Canis lupus familiaris: one gene and its partner. The protein of the gene in region 1 binds, or shares a complex with, the protein of each later gene. Links are inferred from orthologs where the notes say so. Each region holds a gene or a part of one and is shown on either strand. Other genes may lie near its edges.

Region 1 (11,185 bases):
TGGTTCAGAGAACCTCCTGTCAAGGTCACCCTGTTCCATCTGATGCTGTCTGACATGAGAACCAACTGTGTTCTTCACCTCCTACCAGCCCTAGTGCAATCCTGGGTGCTAGATGAGCTAGGAAAGAGTACCCCATCTGTTGGCTGGAGATTACTTGCAGCCTCTATGCCACAACAGAAAGTCTCTAAGTTTCTACCTCCCTAGCTGGCCTGTTCCTGTGTGGCATAACCCTTCCCTCCCTAAAGCTTCCTCACTGAGATAATAGACCCAGCCTCGAATGTTCCCCTGTTATTCCTTTTCTTCTTGCCTGCCTGGGTTCCCAAACCCTGTGGCCCTTGGACAGCACAGGGAGATCTGAAATGGCTGAGAAGGAAGGGCCACCATAGGCCTCATCACCATTACCTTCAGCACTTTGGGGCTGAGCCCTGTGTCCAGAGCCTGTGTCACCTGAAACATGACACATTTTCCTTTCAAGAGATTTATAATCTAGGCAGGGAGGAAGGATAGAGAAGCTAAATGCTAATACATGGGAATAGATGCTCAATGGGTATGACAGTACATGTTGCAGAATTTGTAGCAACAGGGAGCTGATGGGCGGGGGGGTGTTTCTCTCCTCACAGAGGATGTCCTTTCTTCCTCCCAGGTAGGTGCAGCCCCACTGTAGTGAGTGTACCTCTCTCACCCTAGAATCCTGTGTCTCCTCCTATTGAGCCAGGACACTCACCTATTGCCCACCACCCAACTGTCCAGAATTATTGGAGTTAGTAGGGAAAGGTGCTGGCAGATCCAAGCTTTGTTTCCCTGCCTCCTTAGCTTTCCCTTACCTCCTTCCCTTGCATGCCTATACTCAATTCTCTCTTCAGCAGGAATATAATGTTCAGCTGCTTTACACCCACTCTGTGAATGCTGCCAGCGAATAATGACTAAGGTAGTGGGTGGAAGTACAGCAAGTTGAGACCAATTTAGCAGTCCAGGGTGCCAGGAGGAGGGTGATTTAGCAGCAAATGGCTTTGCAACAGCAAGGAGGGTGAAGATGCCCCCAAAGCCAACAGGCCAGTGAGCCAAGTGTACAGCCCTGCCCTGGTGCCTCAGGCAGGGATTGCCTCAGCCACCTGGCAGTCTATGCATTGCAGTTATATTCATGCACAGGGCAGGGTTCATCCCTAAACAGCAACTGATTTTCAAAGCAATGCCTACCCTCACCCCTGATCTCAGCTCTACTTTGGCACTTTTGAGGGCCTGTGTCCTTGGGTATGCCTTAGCTTGAGAGTCTTACCTAGATTGGGCTCTCTTCTTCTAGTAGATGCTGTGGCCTGGGAGCTTCTGAAGCTCTGAAGAACTAATGGTAATTCAAAAGACTGCTCTGGGCATGGCAGAAATTGAGGTTCTGTGCCATCGAGGAGGGGGGCAATCCAAGCACACTTTAGATCATGCCACAGAAAGACCAACCCAAGTAGGCATAGGGTGTGGATCTTCCAGGTCCTGCCATCTGGGAATGTCTAAGGATTCACGTTATGGGATATGACTGCGAGTGTGGATATCAGAGGAGAGCATGCCTCAGTGAAAGAGATGAATGAATGAATTCGGGTGTGCATGTGTGTGTGTGTGTGTCTGCTGGCTGTCATTCTGAAGGCAGTTATCCTCTCCCACAGTGATTAACTGACATGGAAGCTAATCTATGGGTGATCTGGATAGGGCAACTTTTTACTGCCTTTGTTCCAGGTACTGGACAAAACCCATATCACATCTATTTAGACACCAATTTGGCCTATCACTTAGCAAGAAAAATCACCAGTCTACTGGATTGATTAGAACAATTAATTTTAGCTTTTAGCTAACACATACACACGCTCATATTCTATTTGCTAATTAATGAGGCCTGCCAATTGGGTGATAATAGCAATGAATTGGGAGTCAGGACAGCTGGGTTCAAATCCCAGCATTCCACTTAAAATCTGGGGTGAACCCCTTCACCCCCAATAGGTTCCTTCAGTTTTCTCATATGCCAAATTGTGGAAGATACTTTCTCACAGGGTTGATAATGATCCTAACAATAACAACAATAGCAGCAACAATAATAATATCCTTTTTAACGTGTAAAGTCCTGTACAAATAAAAAAGGCTATTAAAATTATTATTACAGGCAGCCTAGAGATGGTGGTAGACTGTCAGGTGGAAGTCGATGTCTGGCAGGAAGCAGGATGGAGACTGCAGATACAGAGGCAGCACTGCCAATCGGCAGCTAGCCCGAAGCCCAACGCAACCATGCCTGATTTTGACACATCTCCACCCACTTCTCTAAATCCTTGGAGAAGGGGATCCAGAGCCAATCTGCACACTCATTTTGCTGGAGGCAGTTGTTAGAGGTGAGTTACTTCACATCCTTCATTTCCCAGCTCTGTCTGGTCTGGGTGCCTTGCTGAGCTACATGGAAGGAGGAAACATTTCTTACCTGGGTTCCCTTTGGAAGAAAAAGCTCCATTTCCTCAGGTCTCAGCTTGCATCTTGGAACTATGACCTTGCTGCTGCTATGTCTACTTTTTATACTTTCCTGAGGTTTAACTTCAAGGTTTAGTTCATGACCACTTCCTCCCTGGTGTCTTTGAGCTCACCTCCCTCATGCTGAGCAGCTGCTGTGTTCAAAGTTAGTACAATCCAATTTTCAATGTACTTGTCATTGATTTACGTATGCTGCTTCCTCTTCTCAATTCCCATCACAAATTTTAGTCTCAAGCCATTATTGAACCATTTTTTTAAAAAATCCCCCACCTCCGTGGCACCTTGAAAACCTTCAATAAATAGTGATGTACAGTTCTAGGGAAACTAAAATAATCACAAACCCCTGAGAAGGCACGTGGCAAACCTGCTATGAGAAATAATGGTGTGGTGTAAACGGCATGAGACAGGAGTCACCAAACTGTAACCACGTGACCTTGGGGAAATCATGGCCAGATTGCCTCCCTAAACATGGTAGCAATTCACACTCCCAACAACAGCGTAAGTGTCTATTTTAGATCAGCAATTTTCAGACTGCAGCAGCATAAAGATCTATTCAAAAGGAAACTCAAAGAACTACCACTTAAAGTGCCTAAAGATCCCCCAGACAGCTGGCTACTTTTTTGTTAGCAAACCCCTAGAAACACCTCATCACTGCCTTGGAACCAGTGCCTTCCTGCGGTTCCAACTGCACAATTTTTAAAACCTTAATTCTAGATCACACCTAGCACTTCCCACTAGTATATATCCATTGGTTGACTGACCCCGAGATAGAGCGCCTAGGTTGGTAGGGTGGGTAGGAGCTAGGTTTTCCTTGTGTTCCCAAACTGGAGTTAGAAACTGAGACGAAGGAACCCTGTCTAGGCAGAGGCCCTGAAAGAGATGACCCAATAACAGGGGCAGGAAAGCCAGAGGCCATGCAGGAATCTGTGCTGGGAAAATGTTCCTTGCCAACAGTCCCCGATATCTCTTCTTCCCATTGCTTTATTAAGCAACCATTTACTAAGGGCCTACTCATAGTAGCTAAATAGTATACTATGAGCTGGGCATTCATGACATCATCTCTGCCTCTAAGAACCATTTGGGCTCTTCAGGATCAGTGGGTAAATGTCAGAATAGTGTGGAATGATGGTAGGAACTCAGAGAAAGGCATGTAACCCAGACATAGGGAAAGAAGAGGGGAAGATTTCTTGGATGGGTTGATTCTCATGGTTAAGACCAGAAGCGCAAGTGGGAGCTTGTTAGGTGGAGGTAGAGAGACGGGGTAAGAATATTTGACAGAGCGGAAACGTGTATTTCTCTTTTCAAAGTTAGTAGAAGAACATGGAAAGAGCCAGAGCTGAGCTGAGTGGAGTTCAAACCCCTGCTCCTCCATCCTCTATCCTAACTACATTATTTAACTCTCCTCATCTAATAATCATACACACCCTGCAGGCCTGTGCTGAGAATTAAATGAGATAATGAATAACAAGTACTGGGCACATAGTGTACTTAGTGAACAGTATTAGGTGTTGCTAAGTATTACCCATGACACCAGTCTATAAGCTGATCAACCACAGGTTTGCCCTCATTACCCTATGCATCTTCATAGTTTAATGAGGCTATGCCTGGCCCAGAGCTTTGCATTTTGTAGGTACCCAATGAATATTTATTAAGTGAATGTTGAATAAGTGCAAAGGCATATACATAACTTTTTAGAATTAGGAAGCCATTTTTATATGGTTGGAACCCATCTACCTCCTTGCCCACACAGGCACAAAAGTGGCTTCTCAAAACTGCATGGCGGATCTTTCCCTCATGCACTCCCAAAGCATTGGCTCTCCCTGACAACACACTGCACAGCGGCACACTTTAGACAGCAGCCACCTCAACACACATCTACTGGGATGCACATGGCAAGACAGGAGGCTCCTCGACAGACACACAAATGTACAAGCTGAATTGTTAAAGCAGGTTTTACTTCGTGAGGTAGGTGCACAGAGGCTGCCATAAATGGTTAAGTAACAACCATCTCGAACGTCCCATCCTCCTTCTCGCTTACACATACACACTCCTGAAAGACTATCCTTTTTCTCCACCTGTTTTTTTTTTTTTTCTCACTTCATGAAGAGTGAATGTCCACACACCCATCTGCTCAGCTGAGACCTCGTACTTGAACTTCCACTTGCTAAACTTAACTTTGCTCCTATTAGCTGTGGACCTTAGGGAAAGCCCGGCCCCCGTTCTTCACTGGTAGAACACAGAGAATGAACCATGCTTCATGCCAACCTGGTAGTTACAGTGTGAGGATAAAGGAGATAACAAATGAGATAACGTCTGTGATGTGGAGAAAGCACCTCAGAAGAAAGGCACTGGATAAATATAAGGTGTAAATGCCAGACCTGATTAGTGTGTATGCCCCTGCCCACAGATTTCCACCCACACACTCTGCTCTTCTCACCCTTGAACACAAACACCCTTCCCGCCTATAAAAGCTGTCTCTAATACCCATTTTCGTGTGTGTGTGTGTGTGTGTGTGTGTGTATGCTTTAGCACCTATATGTTCCCCAGTATACCCACAGAAAATTGTTTTTGGACTTAGAGGAAGCTCAGGTTACAAGCACTGTCTAGTCCCTACCCACAGAGTCTTCTCAAGGGTCGTTGGTTCTGGAAGACTTGCCAAGCACACACACAGCTCATCTCTCTCTGGCTAGACTTCTCTGCTCCTCTGATTGCCACTAGGCTGTACTTCCAGCAGAGCAGGAGATCCTTTATCTGGCACAGCTCCTGCCAAGAGCTCTCCAGAACTCAGTCCCTCCATGCTAGTCTGCCCAGCACCTAAGACCGAAGACCAGGGTTGATGGTTGCAGGAGGGTGTGGATAGAATGGGGGGGGGGGGGCGATCCAGGAAATCTAGATGCTCAGATCCCTAAGCACTCTTTTTGTTCCTAGGGAACCGAGGGCTCTGAAGCTAACAAGTCCCAAGCACTTTCCTAGGCCTGACATACTTGTGGGCAAGCAGAACATTCATTTGCTCCAGAGTTCACTCCTTTCCATTTCGAGCAAGAAGGAGAAAGATCACCTGGCCTGTGGTGTTTCGATGCCTGTTGCTGCTGAGTTTGATGCTCTGAAAGCAGGAGTTCAGCATGTTGAAGAGTGTGTGTGTGTGTGTGTGTGTGTGTGTAGGGGTGGGGAGGGAGTCGGGGGCTGGCTACCTTTGGCCGGTGAGAGAAAGAAGTGAACGTGGTGTGTGTGTAGGTGTGGGACTGTGTGTGTGTTAATCTGGCTGAATGGCAAGTCTACGACTGATCCTTGTTGACCCACAACTCCAGGGGCCACTTTCCACGTTCATGGAGCCCCTCTCTATCCAACTCAGCCCCCGTGACACATTCCTTCAGTGAGACGTCCCAAAGCTCTAACTGCACCAGTGTCCCTGCCACCCCGTGAGCACGGCCACGGCCCATCTCCAGAGTTCGGACGGCCAAGTGCAGTGTCCAGAGCCCAGCTGTCACACCCTCCGTCTGGGGCCAGGGACCCTCTGGGCTCACGCACACTTCCCCTTTGGCTCATCTCAGACATCAGTGTCACCCAACACTTCGTGTCCAGCAAGATCAGATTCGGGGCTGGAAGCAGATGAAGCCAGGGTGCAGGAGACGGAGACAAAGCCGTAAGGACGGGCGCAGCATCCCTTTCTCCAGGCTGGGTCCCGAGCAGCAGCACCCACCCTGGCGCAGGGGGGAAAGAAAGACCCTGACAGTTACGTGCAGAGACAAAGACACCCGGACGGACGCCGACACAGACAAAGACCGACGGACGCCCGGACGCCCGGTACGCGGCGGGGAGCGCGGTCGCCCCCGAGCCCGAGCGCCCGGGGCGCGGCGGAGGAGGACCCCGCGCGCAGCGCACCTTACCTGCCCCCTGCGCCTCCGGCTGGCTTGGGCATGGTTTTTTTTTGGGGGGGGGTCGGGGGGCTGCAGTGGGGTCCCGGCCGTCTCCGCAGGGCTGCGGGCTCGCGGCTCCGGCTCGGCGGACCCGGCGGCGGGAGAAAGTTTCGGCCTCCGCGCGCGCCCGCAGCTCGCCCGCCCGCTCCCGGCGCGCCGGCCTCCGCGCGGGGTCCGGGAGCCGAGGGCGGGGCGGGGCGGGGCGGGGCGGGGCGCGGGGCGGGGCGGGGCGGGGCGAGCGCCGGCGCCGCTCATTGGCCGGGCGCGGCTCGCAGCCTCTCGCTTGCTGCTCGGCGGCCTTTGTTCCCGGCTGACAGCTGGGGCTGCCCCGCACTTGGGGTCGGCGGCGGCCGCGGGCCCCGGCTCTCCGCTGCCACCGCCCGCAGACCCCTTCGGGCGGCCCTGAGCCTCTCTCCCTCCACCCGCCGGCCCTGCCCCTCCTGCGACTCTTCCCTTCTTGCTCTTGTCCCTGCCTCCTCGGTAACGCGCGCTCCGTCCTTCCTCCTTCGCGTTTCCTAGATTCATTCCTTGGCTTTCTCCTCTTCCCCTGGATCCTTCTCTTCCTTCATCCCCCCCCCTGCTCCCCGCCCCATCTTCTTACTCACCAGTTTGCTTTCCCCAGCCCCAGCCCTGCAGCCCCTGGGTCCCGGGGAAAGGCTGGATTTCCAGGTGAAAGACGGGACCAGCAGCCTAGTGATGGGCATTGCCTCACGTGCTGGGATTAAAGGCAGGGGCCCGGAACACTGGCACCCCCACTCCCAAGACATTTCTTGTTCTTTTTCTTTTTTGAGATTTTATTTATTTATTCATGAGAAACACGGAGAAAGCGAGGCAGAGACACAGGCAGAGGGAGAAGCAGGCTCCATGCAGGGAGCCCGATGTGGGGCTCGACCCCCGGGTCTCCAGGATCACGCCCTGAGCCGAAGGCAGACGCTTAACTGCTGAGCCACCCAAGCGTTCCAAGACATTTCAAAGGCAAACTTTTCCAGCTCCCTCCGGGGGACTAGGTTTCGGGTGAAAGAATGAGTGGGAAATATCAGAAAGGGAGACAGAACATGAGAGACTCCTAACTCTGGGAAAGGAACTAGGGGTGAGGGAAGGGGAGGAGGGCGGGGGGTGGGGGTGACTGGGGGACGGGCACTGACGGGGGCACTTGATGGGATGAGCACTGGGTGTTATGCTGTATGTTGGCAAATTGAACACCAATAAAAAATAAATTTATATATAAAAAAAAGGAAAGCTGAGTCGTGTTCCAAGTTTATAGCTATAAATCTCACCCAGTACCTTTTTAACGCTATCATTTTCTCCACCACCCTCATTTTTAACTTCTAGCAGTTGGGCTAGGAAGGAAACCAAGTTTACAGGCTTTGGGAGGACAAAAGGCCAGTTAAATGGGGTGCTGGGTGTGGCATGAGGCTCTGGTCCTGGGTTCACCCAGGTTAATTAATTCACTAAAACCAGGCACGGCTCTACCCAGGGAATGCCAGCCTCAGCCAAGTGGAGGAGGGAACACTGAGGTGGCTGATCTCTGACTAAAAGTGGAATGAGGGATCCCTGGGTGGCGCAGTGGTTTGGCGCCTGCCTTTGGCCCAGGGCGCGATCCTGGAGACCCGGGATCGAGTGCGACGTCGGGCTCCTGGTGCGTGGAGCCTGCTTCTCCCTCTGCCTATGTCTCTGCCCCTCTCTCTCTCTCTCTCTCTGTGTGACTATCATAAATAAATAAAAATTAAAAAAAAAAAGTGGAATGAGGGAAGACAGCCCAAACAGAAGCAACACCATGTTGTTACAGCCACCCTGTTGCTCTCAATCTTGTAAAATATCTTTCCCATTTCCAGATCTGGACTCTGAAAACTTCAACTCTCAATTCTAAGCTTCCTGGAAGGAAACACAACAGACTTCCAGAGCAGAGACAGGCTCTGCTAATTATCATCTGTGTGACCCTCAGCCAAGGCCATAACCTCCTTATATCTCAGGGTTTTTGTTTTTTGTTTGTTTGGTTTTTTTTTTTTGGTGGTGATATTGTCGTTTATATATATTTTTCCCCTTTATGAAATGGGGAAACAATTCCTGGAATGTAAACTTCCTGAGAGCAAGGACTTGTTCGGTTTTGTTCATAGCGGAGGGACTTGATCTGTTCTGTTCACAGATGTACCCTCAGCACCTAGAACCTGGCTGGTATATCATAGTCATTCTATAACTACTTGTAAATGAAGCAATCCCTACTTTATAGGTTTGCTATGAGGATTAAATAAGAATCCTTGGCATGTGGTAAGTACATACACATGGTAGCTATTACAAGGAACATTACAACTTCTCTGTATCAACTCCAAAGGCCAGTTCAGCCTTCTCTGAAGATCACCTCTTCTTTTCCACCTTTGCATATATTTGTCCCTCAGTTTGAAAGGCTTTTCTCTACCTGTCAAAATTTGAGACCTAAAATGCTTTCCTTATTCACACCATCTTTGATCATCTCAGCCAAAACGACAATTCCTTTTTCTAGAGCTCCACGTCTCTTGTCCCATTCATATGTATGCTTGCTTGCATGGTGACTGTGACTGCAGGTCTGTCTTTCCCTAGACTATGAGCTATCTACAGTCAGACACTGGACTCTACATCCCCAGAGACAGATGTGGTGCCTCACAGGTGGGAATTTCTCAGAAACACTTGCAGAATGGATTAATATAAATCTAACATCTTAGCACTTAAAAAAAAAAAGTAGAATCTTGGAAGGTAGAATAAAGAATTATGGGATGCTGGGTGGCTCAGCGGTTGAGCATCTGCCTTTAGCTCAGGACGTGATCCTGGGATCTGGGGATGGAGTCCCGTATCAGGATCCTCATGGGGAGCTTGCTTCTCCTTCTGCTTATGTCTCCGCCTCTCTCTCTCTCTGTATGTCTCTCATGAATAAACAAATAAAATCTTAAAAAAATAATCAGGTGGACTTCTGATTTCAGTCAAACTCATTTTTCTGTTTTTAGATGTGGAATTCCATGGAAGGAGAAAAATACTAATCCTGAAAACCTGTTCCTCATTTTGGCCCTACCACTACTACTTAAATGCTCTTGGATAAGCCATGTCCCTGACTAGGCCTCAGTTTCTATATCTGCAAAGTGGGTAGTTTGAGTGAGACTCTTTAAGGGGACGCATCCAGCACTGACATATTATGGTTCTCTGTCAGAAGCATTCTAGGTAGCATATAAAGCATGACATGTAGCTCTCTTATAATGACTGAGTTAGGCAAAGGATGCGGGCAAAGCATTGGTGTGTATGCAAGGGGTGGAACCAAGATACAGTATGAAACAACAGAAGCACCCTGTGCAAGGGATGCTTCAGAGATAAAGTGGGGTGCATTGAAAATGGGGGTGGAAGTAAGGAAGCAGAATAAGGGGAGAAGAGCTGCCATGGTACAGCGTGGTGTGTGTGTGCGCGTGTGTGTGTGCATGAAATCCTCAGGAATGTGGACTCCAGAAGTAGAAAGCCATAATTAGCTCCCTGATTCAGCTGTTGAGTATGGTAATGCAATGACTGGGTGTGTCTGCTCCTAACACCCCTGGTGGGATTCTCAATGTGGCTCCTCTTCCTTTGTCTGTTTAAGGAGTGCTGCCCTGACGGGGCCCTGGGTATCCCATAGGAATCTCTGCCAGACTTTCCCTTGCCTGAGCTGAGTCTGGAAAGCTGGGTTAAAAGCATGTTTTTGTAAAAAAATTCCCTGCCTTCCTCATCTGTTCACCAACAAAGATTCAAGTAGTTAACCATTCGGGCTTATCATTTTGTCCTTCATCTCTAGGGCCTTAGATTGGCCACATAGGACCAGGCCCATGGACCAGTTAACCTAACACTTTCTCTGGATTAGAAGCGCCTCTGCCTTTCTCAGTGTGCTTTCACCTATTACAATGTAAATAATTGCCCATCTTTTTGTTTGTGTGTTCAACTTTTCTGTAACCTTCTTACTCGGAGACCACATCTTTCTTGTTCAACACTGAATGCCCAGCACATAGTTGATATACAGAAAGCATTCAAACAATGTTTGAAAGAATTATATTGAGAAGAGAAAGATGATGTTTTAGAGAGAGATATGAACTCAAATACAGAAGATTCACATTTCTTCTCACTTCAAATTTGTGGTCTTGTCACAATATTTCTGAGACTCCATTTGCTCATTGTAAAATGGGCCTATTAACATTTGCTCTACCTGTCTTATGGCAATGATGCAAAGATGAAGAAAATCAAGTTGAAGACGGTAAGAAAAGTAAAAAATGTCAAATAATTGTTTAACATTATTTCAAGTCTAAAAAAATGCAGATGCTTTTGTTAGATGATAATAAAACTTGACTATAGGGGTGTGCCTGGCTGGCTCATTGGTGAAACATGTGACTCTAGATCTCAGGGTTATGAATTCAAGCCCATGTTGGGTGTGGAGATTACTTTAAAAAAATTAAAAATCTTAAAAAAATAAAAAAGCTGACTATATTTAACTGAGGCTGTTTAATCTCCAAAAGTAGGTAAGAAAATATAGTGATAGATCACTTAACTGCTACTCCGTCTCCAAGCTACCCTAGGAAAGTATAAAAAGGCTGATTTTCCTGAAGGTCAAACTAATGCCTCTTGACCTTAAAGGATGCCCCACCAGTGTCCTGTCTCCCTCCAGGATAAACAAAAACAAAAACAATCAAACAAACAACAACAACAACAACAAAACAGTTCTCCTGGAGTTTCCCCGGATGTGCAGTTTTTATAACCAGAATTTACATTGCTTACCTGAATGCAGC
Region 2 (10,429 bases), on another chromosome or scaffold:
CACCTTTCTGATCCCATCACAAGGCTGGCCCATTTTCAATCACTATTTTCCAAGACAGGATTAGTCTTGTCTCTATAAGGCTGGGGAGCAATTCTTTTAGATAGCTGACATTTGTCTCCTTGTTCTCTCACTGAGAACAAACCAGATATGGGTTCTACCCTCAGGAAGCTCCCGACCAACAGGAGTTAAATAGAATACTACAAGAATAAATCATTAGGCTTGTGATAGGAGCTATAATAAAAAGGTACAGAGAATAAAATCCCATAACAAGTCTGGATGGTAAGAGATTTCCCTGAGAAAGGGGTGTGGTAAGAGTTGACAGAGAAGTGGGGGTGAATGACCTGAGGGTGGCAGCAGTGGAATGAGCAGGGGGGCTCAGCAGGTCCTGCACAAAGGCATCTGAGCTCCGTCAATCTGATCGAACAGAGAGGGACTGTGGCTCAAAGATGAGCCTGGAAAGATACTGCAGGGGCGCCAGACATCGCAGGGCCATGTAGGTCACAGAAAGGGCTTTGACTATTACCCTGAGAGAAATGGAAAACTTTAGTTGATGGATTTTTAAAGGTAAATATTTGAATTTTCAGATTTATCACCAATCACTCTGTTCGGAGACTGGCTGGGAGGGGGCAAGCCTAGAAATAGGATGAAGAGGAAAAGCATCACTTCTAGTGAGGAACAAAGTAGGGCAGTGCCTCCAATGCAAAGAAATGTGAAGATATGGCAATGATTTAGGAGGAAGAAAGTCAAGGGTGGTTTGTTTCTAAATGGCTGGCATAACAGGCTGTGGTGCCATCCACACTGCAAAAGAACATGTCCAAGCAGCAGCCTGTGCTGTGTTGTGAGCTACGAACATACAGAGGCTTAACAGGCAGCTGGACACACTGGTCTAGAGGTCAGAAGGCATGCTAACAACACAGAGCACCTCAAAGCATTACATGAGGCCAAAGGGATGATGGAGAAGGAAGTTTCTTCTCCTGTTTACGTTCCCAAGTTGATACATAATGTGCTAGAGAAAAAATACATCCCAAACCTAATTCTTCTAGGGTAACAGGAGCAAATAAAAGATGCTATACAAAAACAAATGAGGAGCTTCTCCAAAATATTTCATGCTGTTGTTTTAAAATGTTATACAAAAACATAAAGGGCTAAGACTAGCCAAGATATCCTTAAAGAACAAGGAGAGGAGATTTGACAGCCTCCCCTCTGCCCCAGTCCCTCAGGAAATCAAAACTTATTATAGAGTACTATTAATTACATAGTATTATAGGGACTCAGGGTTATACCAACAGGCACTAGACTCCATGGAACCACACAGAGATGAAGATTTTATATCTGAACTGGAAGAACATAGCAATGAGGATAGAAAGGATGACTTAGGCTCCCTTTATGCGGAAAAAATATGAAATTGTACCTGGCCATCTCTTACTACACCAACCAATTCTGGATAGATCAAGAACCTAAGTGCCACAAAACTTTTCAGAAGAAGATACAGGCAAATAATGACCCTTTGGTATGATGTGCAAGACACAAAAAGCACAAATGGTAACGCAAAAAGAAAATAAAATTCACCTACATTAAAAGGCAGACTTCTGCCTGGCAACATAAAAAACATCACGAATTTGAAAAAGCTAAAAACTGAGAGAAAATTGGTGCAACGTCTCTCTAAAAAACAAGAATATACAAACAATTTTCTACAAATCAATACAAAAAGGACCAGCAAAGCAGCCCTGTCCTGCAATGTTTTGTTACTCAAATGTCACTCCTGGGGAAAAAAAAGAGAGAGAGAAAGACAGAGGCCAGCAAATCATACAGAGGAAGAGCAAACCATCTGGTGACAGACTCCTGGCAAAGGTGGGAGAACAGGCACGATCCTACCTGGTCAGTTAGGAGAGAGCCCTCCTAACCTTTGGAGGACAATTTGTTAAAAAATCTATTTTAAAAAAATTAACATACCATTGATTAACATCCCTTTGCACTTCTAGGAATTATCCAAGAGATAAACTCTCACATATGTTAAAAAAAAAAAAAAAGAGTCAAAGACATTCTCTGTAATACTGTTTCTAGTAGCAGAAAAATGGAAAAATCAAAATGTCCAACAGTAAGGGATAAGTTTAAAGAAATTACATCCATGCAATGGAATCTGGAAGCGTCAATACAATGACAAGGATCTATCACTTAACTGAACTGCCACGTGAAAGAATCAAGATACAGAATAGACTATTTACAACAACAACAACAAAAAGGAACACGCTAGAAGGTGGAGCATGGAAAATTATGTACATTGATATGCACAGATTATCTCCACAGGGACACAGAAGAAACCGGTTAGAAGGACTGCCTCTGTGAAGAGAAATTAGGACGGGTGCTAAAGAGTGGAACAGTCCAGAATACATTTCATTTGGCTTTTAACTGCGTATGTGTATGTATTACATTCTCAACAAATAAAATCTCCTGCTGAGAAAATTTCAGCCATTCTAAAAAAAAAAAATAGTTTAAACAAATGATAGTATGTCCATATTAATAAATATTATATTTAGCAGCTAAAAAGAACAGAACAAATCTATATGTATTAATATAAAACAGGCACAAGATTTTTTGGAGGGTAATGAAAATGTTCTAAAATAACCTGTGGTGATGGATGGCCAACTCTATAAATATACTAAAAGCCATTGAACTGTATGCACATTTTAAATGGGTGAATTGTAAGGCACAGGAATTCTACCTCAATAAAAGCTATTAAAGAATATTAATAGACACACATGCGAGCACATACACACACACACAGCCACATGGAGGGGAGGGTGAGTGAGTAGACAGGATTAACTATAGCCCACAGGCCAAATTTGGTCTGCTATTGGTTTTTATAAAGTTTTATCAGGACACACCCACACTCCTTCATTTCCAAACTGTCTATAGCTGTTTTCATGCTACAAAGGCAGAGTTGGGTAATTATGCCAGAGACATCAGAGTTTGCAAAGCCTACAATATTTTCTACCTGGCCTTTTACAGAAAAAGTTTGCCAACCCCTGATAGTTTAAAAAAAAACTTAAATTGTATAGTTGAATGAAAAACAGCAACTGCAGGATAATACAGTCAGTAGGATATTACTTATGTTCTAAAATCACACACAACACAATATGACAATATGACATATCTTCTATGAATGCGAATAATAGTGTCAGGAAATGATCGCAAACTCATACGTATGGTTATTTCTGAGAGGGGGCAGGCAGAAAGGATTGGGAGTTGGGCAAAGGGGTCTTTGGCTTTACTTATAGTTTATCTGAAAACTGTTTTATTTAAGGAGACAATATTACCTGAGTAATTGAACATTTATTTATTTATTTATTAGTTAATATTTTAAAAGCACGGCTGGCAGCAGCAGGAAGTAACAGGATTAGGTTGGATTAAAACCATACACTGTGATCTTGGTAAGCGCTGCCAAAATTTTAAGTGTTCTGATCCACATCCACCTTTCAGATTTTTTCCAATCTCTCTCCTGTTTCTCTTCCATCTTCCCTTCATTAAGTTCAGAAGTGAGCTTTCCAAGGAGTAAGGTAAAATGAGGCAGGAGCAAGAGTAGCAGGAGGGATGGCGGACAGCTTACAAAGGAGGCCCGGGACAGTGAATGAATGGGTCCTGTCAACGGTACCAGGGATTTAGTTCCTAGCATGGGGCCCTGGGTTGTGTGAAGACAGTCTCAGGCTTAACAGCGTCCTGCAATTAATTCCTGCTCACAGCCTCCATAGTCCTAGCTTTGCATAATTCACACGACCCTCACAAGAGCCCTAGGACTTCTAGTTTTCTGTACTTTCAAGTAGGTTTACAAGTTTGACTAGTCTTGAACATAGTACGCCTTAAAAATAAAACCAACTGACTGGCAAAGAGCAATTCAGGCCCTCGAAAGGCACACGTGTGAAACCTGAGTCTCAATATGGCTGCTTTACACCAGCATTTACAAAGATAAATTGGGTACAAATGATAAAATACATATAGCTCATTTCTGGAAAATAAAGAAAGCAGAAATTCAACTGGAAAAAAAGTAAACTAGTTTAGGACAATTATTAGTTGTTATTAATTATGGAAATTATTAACTTTGGGAATGGACAGTTTTTCAAAGCAAAAGAATAAAATGTCAGGGGTAGTTTCCAATGGTGTGTATTTATATAAAATGAGACCTCAGATAATCTGTCTTCTAACCTAGAAACTATGTACAATTCTAGTAAAGGCAAGTGCTCTAAAACAGCAATAAAAGGAATCATCCAAAGTTTGTTTTTTTTTAAAGAGGTAAATTCAAAAGACAGGATATCATCATTAAGGCCATGATATTTAAAGGGACCAGTGCTAAGTCTTTGTTTGCATGAGCAATTACCAAAGGGGAAACTTGTGTAACTTTCTAATTGTGGGTCCCAGAGCCACTTCTGCTTCTGAAACAAAAGCAACCAGACAACATGAAGGGCTTCTGGGAAAACCTGGCTATGTATAAACTACAGTTACAGAGGAGAAAAAAGCACATTCATGAAACTACTCTTTTAAACAATCTGTTCTTGAACAAAACTCCACATAATTCCAACAAATCTTCACAAGGGAAAGAACAGGAAGTTGGGTGTGAAGTTGGGTGTTAACCAAAGTGAAGTATAAATGTTACATACATGTGCACATATATTTTAAACTAAATATACTTTAAGTTTCTCTCTGGCAAAAAAGGTTTGCTGCTGGTAAACTCACCTCCATGTTCTAGAAATACTCGAACACATCTTTCCTTCCCTCTTGCTGCAGAGAAATGAAGCAGGGTCCAGCCATTAGCATCCCGGCCATTTGGAGAATAGCCTTGTTCTAACATCTTTCGTACTGTGTGAACATCCCCAGCAGCAACTGCAGCCTGAATCTGCAATTCTTCCTGGAGTTCAGGGTTCCTTCGACAATGGTGGTGTAACATCCTAGCTGAGTCCACTTTTTACAAAGGATTCATTAGGTCACAGGGAATAGGCTTTAAGGGGAAACAGAATACATGAAATTTAGAATACATGGCTCCTCACGATGTGTCTGTTAAATAGTACAGAATTTTCCATTGTCAAATCATGTAAATCTTAGTAATGACAGTTCATCCCCCTACAACTAATTAACAAGTAACTGTTATAACCAAAACTTCCAAGATTAAGATTATACAAGATTCCAAACAAAAAGCCAGGCATAAAGCTTTAAATTGCTGAAACAGGACATTTCTTCTGTAGTCTTTTGAAAGCTCAAAGCAAATGTCCTAGGAACACAGTAGCCCTATTTCAGGTATAACAGAAGGCGATGCTGGGCAGCTAGAAAATTCAAGACAACAGAGGAGTCAGAGGAGTTTGATTACCCTAACGCAGAGTTATAAACCAATCAGGATATATAGCAGATCACTGAATGAAATATAGAGTATCAAATGGGCAATTCACAGGTTATGAAGACTGCAGACCTTTAACTATGAGAGACAGGTTAAAAAAAAAAAAAAAAGTAAAAAACTTTAAGTGAGTCCCCTAAAGTATTTCAATAATATCTTAGTTTTAGCCCCAAAGGGTGAAAGGTCTGGGGAGGAGGGGGAAATGCATGGGGTGAATTAAAGTAAAAGGCACGGATAACACATATTCTCCTTTTGTTTATTTCTTTGTCTTTCTGTCCTCCCCACTTTGCTATTTGATACACGATATGCCACCCCTTGTTTTCTACCACATCTTTTCCACTTTCCTAATTTCAGTTTTCCAGAAGTTTTACTCTATAAGCATGCAGAATACCAAGATCATACGAAATATTAGGAGACCTACTTAAAGTTTTTTACTTCTTTTTCCAACATGAAACAACCTGTTGATTCACCACATGAAAAAACTATTTTAAAGAAAAAGTAGTATATTGAATTTCTACACCCTCTATTAGGTCACAAAAGAGGTATGCACTCAGACTCAATATAATAGAAGATCTCCTTCCTGTGAAGAAAATCCAAATTGAATTGGTAAAAAGCAGAATCTTACACGTGTGCGCAAACACTTTTCCAGTGCATTTTTAAGTTACACAGCTTACAGAAGCTTAAACTAACACACTTGTAAGAAGCCAGTCCATCTGGACTAATTTTAAGGAATAGATTAGACTCATCTCCTAATTAGCAGGCTTCCATTTCTAAAAATAAAAAATTATGTGATAAAGTCCTTTAAAGACATTTTGGTCTCCTATGTAGGTTAGACATCTTGGGATAATCCTGTTACCAATAATAATTTATCCTGTAAAACTTCTAGTTATAGATTGCATAAAGGTAAACTTAAGCCTGACCTAGGTCAAACTGTCACAGCTTAAGAGTGTAATCAAATATCCTGTTGTTTTGTACATTGAAAATGGTTATTTCAAACTCATGAGTATTACTGTTAAGTAACAGAAGTTAAAATGAGAAATTTCCTCACAATTTGTTTTCTTAATAAACAGGATTTCCCCCTTATCTCCTCACTTAACTCCTTTTTCAATCAAAACTATAAAATTAAGTCTTTTGTTTCAGAAATTTTGAAACCGAAAATCCTTTTGGAATACGTTTTTGCTTATTTTTAGAATTATACGAGAAGATGTTGAAGACCATTACAAACTAATGAAAACTACTACTATGTGCTCAAACCAATCAACTTTAACATTTTTTTTCCTTAAAAATGAGACGATTATCTTTGCACTTAAATGAGGTCTATTATGCAAGATCCAATCAATTTTGGAGCAAACCTGGATTTTGTTTGAGCAAGTGTTGTGTTTAGTATATGTTAGCTGATTTGAAGGAAAAACAAAGGCTAAGTGGATTTTTCACCCAGAACTGCCCAAATGACCAATGATGATTAGTCACTTACCTTATAGAAGAATGTCCCTTCTCCTGATATGTGGTTTGCCTAATAACCATTGTGCACATACAGCATTGTGAGGAGGAGGCTCAGGGGGTATCCAAATTGCAGCATGAATGACCTTTCTTAACCTAAAAACAAATATCAATTATGGGAAGACTCCCAAAAACAGTAAAAAATCTTACAACTGCCTACACAGTCTACCTTTGGATGAATTTAAATTTTAGCACTTTATAACAAACTTTCAGAGCAAAAACTCAGATCAATTCTTAGAGAAAAGGATCCTGGTACCTACATTAATCTCCAAACTGGTAAAGAATATGGTTTTTATCAGGAATTTTTTTCCCCTAAAAAGGACAGTTTTTTGAAAAAGAATAAAGATAATTTAAAAAATCACACATTTGGAACTTGGATGCAAACACATGTTCCTATTATTTTTTGCTCTATTCAGAGCATATTTTCAGACTTGCACATCTGAATTACTTTTTAACTGATGCTGTTAGGCGCTTGATCTTTCTAAACATTACAAAAAAACAAAAGCATGTGTTGATTCAATACAGTAAGTGGACAGCACCAAAATGGAATCTATGACAACTAAAAAGGATATTATTTATGTCTTTAAATGCTGGTTCTTCGTATGCCCAAAAAGCACTGTGTCAATCATCTTGAAATTTTATTCCTTTACGTATACATCAAACTAGGTAAAAGATTAACATTTCTTGTCAACTTCTCCACATGAATTTTGAAAAAATTCTCTACAGGTTTAAGGAAAAGGGTGTTTTCTCCATGTAAATTAAATCCTAGGTCTGTGAATTCCACTAAGGTTAAGAGCACACGCTAAGTGACTTGCACACAGTACACTAGAATCACTCTTAAGAATTACTCACTAGAACTGCCACCGCCTTCCCCATGGGGTGGCGTGTGCTACGCCCTATGTCACTTAAACAGGAAAGATCGGACCACCTGGCAACTCGACAGGCTCTAGCGAAGAGTGGCAATCACAGGGGCTGCTGGGTGCACACCAGAATTTTCAACCAAACCAAATCAGTACAGTCCACTTTGACTCTTTCCTTTTTCCATACATTTTTTTTTTTCCCTCATCAAACTTTTCAAGGAAGGCCAGAGAGTTGGCCAAGAGGCGCTTGGAAATAATATTTGACTTACAACTGCCTACTGTTTCTAAAAAACTGAATTAGACATAACAGAACAGCTCCTACTACAGGGCCAGCTGCAAAAAAAAAAAAAAAAAAAATACAGGACCATCCTTATAGAAATGCCCAATTCTGAGAGTGGGGCAAGAAAATACACATGTAAGGTGAGCCTGGGGCATCTCATTGTGCCAAAAAGGAAGTGCTCAAAGAAAAATGCAGTGATGGGGGTATGTTACAGGAGCACAGGAGCCAACTAAGAGAGCTCTCATCAGCCAAGACAGAACAATTTGAACAAGATAATCAAGTTGGATTCTAACTCAAAGTACAGAATAAATATCAATATGCCCATATTGCTATAACTGGTTGAATAAATAAAGGAAGGGAGGAGAACCAAAATCTCCTGTGCATAATTCCAAAGATTTGTATAGATGCTCCCTACTCAAAGAGTAGGGCATAACTTCCCTCCCCTTTAGTGTAGGCCATGCATAGCGACCTCCTTCCAAGGAGGATAGCATGGAAAGGAAGGGAAAGAGCAATTTTATGGTGAGAAACCTGAAAAACACCATCCTAGCCCAGTGATCATGATTAACAGCAGCAGTGCCAAGTTGTGTTATGAGTACAATATGAAGACAACAGCAATTTTAACTTGGTGATCTTTCTCTCCAAAGCCCATAACCTCAGTCTAATCTTGAGAAAAATACCAGACAAATTTCAATTGAGGGACATCTACAAGATACCTGACCAGTACTCTTCAAAATATCAAGGTCATCAAAACACAAGGAAGGCTGAGAAACCGTCATGGCCCAAAAGAGTTTACATGACTAAATGTAATATGGTGTCCTAGATGGTAACCTGGAACAGAAAAAGGCATTAGATAAAAGCTAAGGAAATCTGGATATGGATTTTAATTAATAATAATGTTCACTGTTGGTTCATTAACTGTGAGAAATGCATCTATTAATACAAGATGTTAGCGGAAACTGGGTGTGGAGTATACGGGAATCCTGTACTATCTGTGCATGTTTTTTCTATGAATCTAAAACTATACTAAAGATTTGTTTAAAGAAAGCCTACTGAGATATCCAGTGATGAGCCTCCAGCATTTTCCACAAATGAACAGGAGATTGTTTTCTACATTTCAGGTATCAATACCACTGGATGCCTTGTTTCTAAGGGTGTCTTGGTATCCCCTGCCTCCCAAGAGAAGCGGAGCTGGCCCTTCATGGTTTCAAGCCTCTAAGAATCCTTGTTCTCTTACTGCCTTCCATCTACTCATGGAGGAAGATGGGGGGTGCATAGGGAGGAAGACAAGCAAAGTGGGAGTGGGGATGGAGGAGAATACGAAATGGTATTAATTTATTAGTAGTATCAAGAAAAGGCTGTGATAAAAGATGAAGGGACTGTTTCTCTCCACAAGAAAGGTACACAAACCACAGCAACTTGTGATAATGCTGTCTGGGCTCTTTGGTCACACAAATGGAAGTCCACTGAGTGCCTGACATGTGTTTGGCACACGGCTGGGCCTTGGCCACTGGTGTTACCTCTTGGTAGAACTTTTAATAGAGAGTTCTGCATACTTAAATACCCCTAGAAACGTTAAGATCATTTTCTCTCTTCTAACAACACCAAAGTGCTATAAATAATAACCATAGGTTTAAACCAAAAAAGCACTCTTGTACATGCATCAGTCTTTGCCAGAAGAAACAAACATCCGTGTACCACACACACATAATTCCTGTCAGCTGCATCCCTTAAATTATGAAGGGCAATGACTTATTACCAAAATATCCACGACAATAGTCCAAGGCACCAGACAAGTAATACATTTGATCTTGGTGTTATACGAGTTTGCACTGAACAGGGTAGAACTATCCACTTATGAGTAAATTTTTTTAAAAAGACTATTGAACAGAAAAAGTTAATACAGCATCCAGTGCTAAGGGTGTCTATTAAAAATTACAGAAAAAGTCTACAGATGAGATAGGAAAACAGTCTATTTCCCTTCAAGGAGAAGGTTGAAAATCTGAGTGCTCCTGGAAGTCACCTATAAAACATAAGAATATGGCCAAGGAGGCAATTTTCTAAAGAAATATATGTAAATGCGAGTTGTTTTAAACTAATGACTCAGAATGACTAAAATTCTGAGGGTGCAATCTTAGGAATGCCATTTCAGGTTCCAGTCAGAAAAGAGAAAAAAAAAAAAAAAACACACACACACACACACACAAACAAGGAAGACTTCAGAATTACTTATCAAAAGGAGCTACTCCCCGCCACCCCCCCCGCCCCCCCGGTATATCGTTTTTATGTGAGGTTTCATTGCCTGGTAGTGTGTTGAATTGTGTGTTTAACTATTACGAGTCCATCTTTTCTACTTTACGTGGAGGTCAAAAGAAAACCATCCAGGCCTCTGAGCTTTTACGCTGTTGACCA

The links. Proteins that work in one complex are often made in the same cells at the same time.
Region 2: the proteins of LZTS1 (region 1) and ASB7 are in contact, whole or in part, in a crystal structure (PDB 8Y1U), measured with the Homo sapiens proteins. The link is inferred for Canis lupus familiaris from reciprocal best matches to the Homo sapiens genes LZTS1 and ASB7. Residues at the interface, in NP_001349813.1 of Homo sapiens: Arg346, Glu348, Leu349, Leu352, Met353, Glu355, Gln356, Leu358, Leu359, Glu360, Lys362, Leu363, Arg364, Ser365, Tyr366; in NP_937886.1 of Homo sapiens: Asn46, Trp48, Ala56, Ile79, Phe82, Tyr87, Met90, His91, Asp116, Trp118, Val123, His126, Tyr127, Ser147, Lys149, Thr151, Gln155, Leu156, Ile159, Arg160, Phe182, Arg185, Tyr186, Ile189, Lys190, Arg210, Leu220, Leu223.

What each region holds. Positions count from the first base shown.
Region 1 is NC_049246.1:36,938,322-36,949,506, reverse strand, and holds the start of LZTS1 (leucine zipper putative tumor suppressor 1), read right to left. Parts: upstream 6,569-11,185; 5' UTR 6,387-6,568; intron 6,201-6,386; 5' UTR 6,028-6,200; intron 1-6,027. UniProt on the Homo sapiens protein: Involved in the regulation of cell growth. May stabilize the active CDC2-cyclin B1 complex and thereby contribute to the regulation of the cell cycle and the prevention of uncontrolled cell proliferation. May act as a tumor suppressor.
Region 2 is NC_049224.1:40,772,964-40,783,392, forward strand, and holds part of ASB7 (ankyrin repeat and SOCS box protein 7), read right to left. Parts: intron 6,977-10,429; 5' UTR 6,855-6,976; intron 4,991-6,854; 5' UTR 4,940-4,990; coding exon 4,729-4,939; intron 1-4,728. UniProt on the Homo sapiens protein: Probable substrate-recognition component of a SCF-like ECS (Elongin-Cullin-SOCS-box protein) E3 ubiquitin-protein ligase complex which mediates the ubiquitination and subsequent proteasomal degradation of target proteins.